2 linked regions of the Oryzias latipes genome follow. The protein of the gene in region 1 interacts with the protein of each later gene in a pairwise test. Links are inferred from orthologs where the notes say so. Each region holds a gene or a part of one and is shown in the gene's direction. Other genes may lie near its edges.

What was found.
Region 2: the proteins of plekha5 (region 1) and pdzd11 interact in binary tests that used the Homo sapiens proteins (3 or more experiments, as listed by UniProt). The two-hybrid records come from large-scale screens. The link is inferred for Oryzias latipes from reciprocal best matches to the Homo sapiens genes PLEKHA5 and PDZD11.

Annotation. Positions count from the first base shown.
Region 1 is NC_019864.2:14,294,766-14,298,419, reverse strand, and holds part of plekha5 (pleckstrin homology domain-containing family A member 5), read left to right. Parts: intron 1-591; coding exon 592-692; intron 693-699; exon of another isoform or gene 700-1,920; intron 1,921-2,132; exon of another isoform or gene 2,133-2,178; coding exon 2,179-2,294; intron 2,295-2,819; coding exon 2,820-2,891; intron 2,892-3,654.
Region 2 is NC_019868.2:11,259,786-11,263,539, reverse strand, and holds the start of pdzd11 (PDZ domain-containing protein 11), read left to right. Parts: upstream 1-1,089; 5' UTR 1,090-1,220; intron 1,221-1,579; 5' UTR 1,580-1,594; coding exon 1,595-1,687; intron 1,688-2,318; coding exon 2,319-2,459; intron 2,460-2,548; coding exon 2,549-2,647; intron 2,648-3,754. UniProt on the Homo sapiens protein: Mediates docking of ADAM10 to zonula adherens by interacting with PLEKHA7 which is required for PLEKHA7 to interact with the ADAM10-binding protein TSPAN33.

The DNA of each region.
Region 1 (3,654 bases):
TTTTAGCACTGGTCATTTGTGTCGTGTTCTTTCCGCCCACTGCCTGACAAAAGCCACAGACGGCGGCGGAGCCAAAGGCTTTATGCAGATAGATACGCTGAGGAAATCGTATCCATCAGCACAAAGTGGGCAGAGAGGTCACGAACCGTGCTCCCTCTTCTAAACTCAGCTGCCATCCCCTGCAGCGATCAGATTATTATAAAGCACCCAGGATCTCCCACAATGCTTTTAGCTTTTGGAAGCTGAATTTGTGGCTTTTCATCAGGAAACACGCAGGATGAGCAATTAAATCTTGAACCTGCAACTACAGCAAATACTGTACAGCTTTAGTAGTTTCCATGTGGTGTTGCAGGTCAGAACTGCAGTTTGCTTGTATCAAAACGGAGAGGGTGAGCTAATCTCTTTTTAGAACACTAATCCCCTGTGTATAGTGCTCAATTATCGGCATGGGCCCCGTTAACTTTTAGAGGGTTGGAAGATTTCAGCAGGATAGGACACACAATCACTTCTCATCTTTTCCACTGGTTGGATTCAGATGTTGGACCCTCCTTATGAATGCATATGCTAACAAATGGATGTTTCTCTCTGCAGATGAAAAAGAGGAGGGGATTCTTGGCAGCATCCTTCTACCGAGCTTTCATATATCCAAATGCGCGGAGGATGACCACATTAATAGAAAATATGCGTTCAAGGTCAGTGTGTGTTTTTTCTTTCTCTTAACCTCGTAAGTCTTCTTACTGTGTTATTGAGAAACTATAAAAACAAGAAAAGAAAAGGATTTTCTGTCCAAACAGTTTAGGTCGGTGTATAGTTTATGTACATTTTTACTTTTTTCTTTTTCTTTTTGATCACAAAGGTAAAAGTTTATCATCAGCGTTCAGCACACACACCTAAACAAATATGGTGGTACTTGTAGAACTAATAATGCAGTCTTAAAAATCCTGAAAATACATCAATGAAAGTTAGGTGTTGGTTTGGAGCTAAAACATGCCATCTGGAGAAAGTCCCCTGTAACAGTGGGAGCCGTTAGGTTATGAAGAGTGGGCCAAAATACCTGCTGAAAAGGGAAAAAAGTATTTTCCTTTAATAGTCATGCAACAAAAAGTTATCAAAATGTACCATCATGTGTTGGCTGCTTTATTATGATTCTTTTAAACAGCAATTTAAAAGCAATGCCTGGTTTTTATTGATATTTCTTTTATTTAGTCTGTTTCAAGTAAAATTAATGACCAATGTGGGTTTTTTTTCCTTAACAGAGGGGTTTGAAACATTTCAATCGTGTCTTTTTTTAAATGCACATTGAATCACACCAACAGTAAAAGGTAAAACAAGCTTTTTAACTTCCTGTTCAAAATATTTAAATGGAAGAAAAAAAAGTGCCTGTGGGACTGGACCACTGGCAGCAGTTAAGGAACTCTGCAACAATCTTAAAAAACCCAAATCCCCTGAAAGTGGCATATTTTCTGAGTTGGTTGTGTTGTGTATGGAGTTGCTGCATTCTACATGAACCCAAAGAAACAACAATGTTGTGCTGCCAAATACAGCCAAACCCAGACACCCAGGAGTCTGTTAAAGGTCTGTGTAACCACAAAGCTTGCTCTTTTTCCAGCTTAGATCCTGGCTGAAAGAGAGAGTTTAGTGAAACAGGAGAGCAGGGCAAAACCTCTTCAGTTCCACTTTCTAATGGGAGGATTTTTTTCTTTTCTTGTTTTAATAATGCCCTGTCTGTGTTATTCAAAGTAGAATAAGGAAAATTGAAGTTGGCAAAGCTTTTCTGGACTTTGATAAGCAGAATTTTCAGCTGAGATCGTCAATGATTTCTCTTTTTTTGGGTTCTACTTTGACAATTTGTGGATTTGTTCTCAACGAGGGAATAGAGCCACAACGGAGCAATGAGTTTCCCTCGCGGCAAACAGCACAGTAAGTCCTACAGTACTTCAGCCAACAGATTTAGTTCCTTGATCTGATGAAATGTGGTGACTTAAGGATTTGATTTAACTGTTTAGTGCAGTTGACCAGTGTAAGAAATCAAAATTAAATGCATAAAAACTCAAAATAGTCAAATAAGAGATGTATTGAAACAATCCATTCCACCTTTCCTTGAATTGTCTAATTTCTTTCCTGTCTTTCAGGTGAATTTTCTCTTTGCATCTTTCTTGCTGCCCTTCATCCCATCAGGCCACACATCCGAACATGCGGACGTACTATTTTTGCACTGACACGGCCAAAGAGACGGAGTCCTGGATGAGAGTAATGACGGATGCTGCGCTGGTGCATTCAGGGCCAGTCAAAAGGTTAGTGAGATCTTTACAAGTTTGGGCATTTTCCGTGAAGCTTGCTTCGATTTTGAATAGCGAAAAAGACATTTGAAAGCTGATGATGCTGCATGTCTGGCTCAATCAGTTTACAGAGATGTTTTTTTCATCTGGAAATGAGGTTTTTTTTAATCCTTTCTGTGAGTTTGTTAAAAGCATCCACTTTTGACATTTCTGTTCTCTGGATTTGTTTAAGAAGCTGCAGCTTTCTCTCATGTTATGCAACGACTCGTATGTTACAGAGCATCAAACACAAGCATGCCATGCGCATGTGGCATGTCTCTGAAGGTTTAGGGGAATGCGGCTCTGACTGATCAGAGTGAAGCATCCCCACAAGCTTTTAATTCATTTCTATTAGCATCATCACACAGAGACATGAAGTTATAGAGCAAGGGTTTATGGGATTCATTTAACCTCAGATGACTTGTGTTGGTTTTTTTTCTTGATGACAGATTTGTATCAAAAAAGCTTTAAATCTCCTGTCCTTATTTTTTCTGTCTCCAGTACAGCCACTCAAGAACAAATGGGACTAAATGCACAAAGGCTTTCCACAGGGATGGGTGTGTGCTCCTCGGGGTGAGTGGATTCACAGAAAGCTGGAGAAAACATTAGATGACGAGGGCTGCTATTCAAAAATACACAAGTGGAAACTGCAAGGGATGGCTTTGGCTGCTTTCATTCTGCTGTCTCAGCTAGCATTGCTGCTGAGGAGAATGTCCTGAACTTTGGAGTTTTGATCTCAGGCCCGTCCCAGGGCACGGAGTAGAGGTGCCGATTACCTCCCATTACTTCCCCAGAGACCAGAGAAGCAGACGGGCTCTCAGGAGAGGACGTGTTTGGGAAGCACACATGGATTTTGGGCTCTGAGCGCAAGAATGGCTTCAGCACAGGCAGTTTTATTGGACATATCGGATTTTCTTTTACACGCCTGCCTTTCCCCACCAGCTGGAAAAGATATTATACACTTCACTCATTTACTGTGCACCTTTAGTTTAGCTTTAGTATTCTTGTTTAAAATCCAATGGATTTCAGTGGCTGCACAGATATTCTTGGGCTCTTCGGTTCTTTCGAAGACCCTCTTCGATCATCTTTTGATCTATTCCAAGTGTTCCCAGTGGTCTTTTAATTATGACTGTGCTGGTTTTATCCAAAATAAAAATAAAAAAAACTGTCATTTTTGTAGTACATAGTTTCTGCAGAACGCCAGTAGTTTGTTAGAAATTCGTCTCTAAGTTTTGGGCGGGACCTTTGGTGAGGAGTAAGTCCGGCCCTGCTCCTCCTCATCCCTCTGTGTTTACATGTTCTCCAGCTGGCTTACAGTCCCTCACACCCCAAACCT
Region 2 (3,754 bases), on another chromosome or scaffold:
TGAGTGATGTAAGATTAAAAATAGCAACAGAGCATCAACAGACAGTCATAGCCAGGCAAAACAGGGTCAGAAATGGTAGTTTACTCTGCACCTGAGGATTCAATTCAAGGACAATTTGTTGGTGTAGCTTCAATAAACCACATTTTTCATATGAAGAAGAAAAAAAAAGCTTTACAAGAATTGCAATATTTAATTAAAAATGGTCAAAATTAGCACATACAGAGAAACCTGCAAGATATTGGATTTAGCTATAACTCCATTTCAGTATAGGCAGGGAAAAGAACACTACATTTCATGGTCTTTGAAACATGCAGAAACTTGAAACTTTGTCAAGTTTGTTGGTAAAACCTGAAACAAACCTGGCAGGTGATTTTCGTTTGTATCTATTGCTTCATTAGTGCAACTGACAAACACAGATGCTGGTATTTCTTATCAGCAAATCAAGGTCAGAAAGTTTACCATCCAGTTATTTGGATGAGATGAAAACATGTAAAAACAAGTTGGACTGACAGACTGTTATTGTTGCGTGACATTTGATCAGATCTGTAACAAGATTCTGTTGTTCTGAGTGGATTTTTGGGATGCATTCAACAAACTCATCGAGAGTAAAAACACATTTTTTAAATTTGCCAAGCCTGCAGGAATAGTCTTCTATTATTCATTGTTCTCCAAACTGCGATCCACTTGATAAAATGTGTGAGGTAGAATTGTAAAACTGCTATGAAACTGTTTGTGTTGTGATACTTGTTTCAGCAAAAACGAAAAATAAAAAACATTAAAAAAATCCAATAAAATAGTAAATACAGTAAAAAAAATATTTTGTACAGATTCAACGTTGCTTTAAAGAATTATCTAGAAAGGATGGAAAATCCAATCAATGTTCTCCCCCTTGTTTTATTCAAGTCTTTCCAAAAGGATACACATCTGCAACCGTTTCTTGTTTTTATGAACGTTTTGATAAATCAGACCATTTAAAGTTGTGTATGATGTGTTTTACTATGCCAAACAATAATAGACTGTATATTAAAAAGAAAATAAGAACTTCTAACAAAACCATCTACTGTTCATCAGAATTAAATGTTGTTTTTTTTGCCAGCAGATGGCGCAGTGAGCTAAATACAAATTACAAATCCGTAGAAGAAGAGTTCACCGATAGCTTTCAGTTTTCCTAGTCGGCTACATTTTGATGCTTCATTTCTGGACCTTGCGTGTGCTTTTAGGTAAATATTTAGCCTTTTTGTCTTTAATTAACTAGTTGGCATTGTTATAAAATACTAGATTGAACCTCGGGTAATCACAGTTGTGGAATTTCGAATAGTTTGGTAAAAGAAAGCTAGCGGTGTTAGCATATTTTAGGCTCCTTGTTGTTTTCACTATGAAACTTTTACTGTTGCGATTGTCGGACAATATTCTATTTATATTTGTTATCCATCATTTGTTCTTCCGTCCTTATTATTTCACATCATTTTCTGGATTTAGGTTTTCAGAATGTTTTATTATCGCGTAATTACATGTTAACAAGAGGCGCGTCGTGGAATGAACTTTTATTAAACCATGATCATCATGTCCTCCTATTAAGGGTATTTCATCAGTAATGGATCAGAAACTTTCTTATGATGACTACCAGCTTCCAGTCGTGTTTCTTCCTGCTTATGAGAACCCACCTGCATGGATCCCCCCTCATGAGGTGGGTCACATTCAGCAGAACCAAGTACCGCTCATTTAAAATGGGCGGCACTTGACTATATTGTTTGTTCTATGATCATGTTCATTCCTAAAATATACTTAATCTTGGAGTTGACTTTGAATTAGTGGTCAATGATGAAAAAGAGCACCGTGCAAATATAAGAGTGGTTGATTCCTTAAAGAACACGATTGTTTAAATCTTAACATATTAATTATGTGTCAGATCTCTGCTCAAAACACCAAATCCTGGACCTTTGATAATTAGACATTAAATCATTCCAACTGTAAAAACAGAATGTTAAGTGCTGAAAATAAAATTAAAAAAATAAATTAATACAGTATCAGAAATAAGTATTTGATCCTTTGATGATTTTGTAGGTTTGCCCACTTAAAGAGAAATGGACAGGAAGAAAAGGACATTTTATGAACACTTCTTTACATCCTATTTATGAAATTGGATTTATAAATAGAAAGCAGAAATATAAATAGAAACTCCTAATAAAGATTTATCACAATCATTAAGTTATAAAAGTAAAAGAAAAGAGACAAAACGCTTATTTTTCATGTATTTCTTTGGCAAAACTTGTTTAAACTTGATCAAAGCTCACATTTGAAATGGTTCAATAATCCAGCGAGTTCATCACCCTGATTACAACAACGAGCTGACCCAGTTTCTGCCTCGAACCATCGTGTTGAAGAAGCCTCCAGGAGCACAGTTGGGGTTCAACATCCGAGGGGGCAAAGCGTCACAGTTAGGCATCTTTATATCAAAGGTTTGATTCCATTCATTTTGTCATAATGGGGAGTCTTTTTTTTTCAAGTACCTACATCGGCGTGTGCTGCCTTTGTCATGTACCAACAGGTGGTTCCGGATTCAGATGCCCACAGAGCCGGTCTACAGGAGGGAGACCAGGTTCTTTCTGTAAATGATGTAGATTTCCAAGACATAGAGCACTCAAAGGTGAGTCTGTTTAGTCGCATTAACTTTATTTTTCTATCACCAATAGCACAGAGGTAATTTCAGGACACCCTCCAAACAAGTAGAACATGTTCAGTACAGTGCATTTTGAAGCAATTCAATTGTTTTCTAATCCTACATAACCCCAAGCAACGGACGGCAACAGGTCCCGCAGTCACACTTTCATCTTTAAAACAATAAAGGCAGTAGATTAACCTGTATTGACACTAATAAACGCAAGAACCATCTATACAAGACATACAGCAGGGCGCGCCTCAACAGCAGCAAAGTTCAGGGTGAAACACAAAGAGATTTCTGGCTCTTTTTCAGTGCCATACAGCATTCTAAATCCTGATCAGAGCAGATTATTTCTGGTGGTCAAAAAGTGATCTATAACAGTTTGCTAAGGACTTGTCAAATAAAAGGAGATTGGATAGAAGTTCACAAATGTACGAAAGTCCTCCATCCATGATCTGTTCCCGTTTAGTCTATAGCAAAGAATGTGTAACTTAAGGAAAATTAGGGTGTAAAGAACAGTAAATGTGCAGTAAGGTGCTAAATTGGTGGCAGTTTAGCTCAGGCGGGAGAGCAGGTTGTCTAAAAACCGAGCGCGGCTATTCCGCAGCTCACCGTTCCCCCCAGGGGAAGGGTCAAATGCGGAAAACAATTTCCCCATCGTGGGACAAATAAAAGTAAATTAAAAATAAAAGAAGGGTACTGTAGAAATAAAAGCCAAGTGAACCAGGTGGACACAACAAACTATCCTGCAGCCGACTGAAGAGGCAGGCGCTGCAGTTAAACTATGGAAAAAGGGAATGAGAAGTCTAACACAAAATGTATCTCCATACAATCAAACAAAGTCCCCAAACAAAGTTACAGCCAAATCTCACAACAAAGTGTTACAGCGTATCAGACTGAGCCAGATGCAGCACAGAACAGGCAAGACTGAGGGAAGGTTTAGCAACTTTAACAACAAAAATCTCCATTCCAGGTGGGAAAAAAACGTAAATACCGTCATGACGAAACAACACTGACCACAGTGCGGAGAAATCCTAGCCAAAACGGAGAGACACAGCTGAGTGGGTGGAACTTTCCAGTTGAAACCACAGC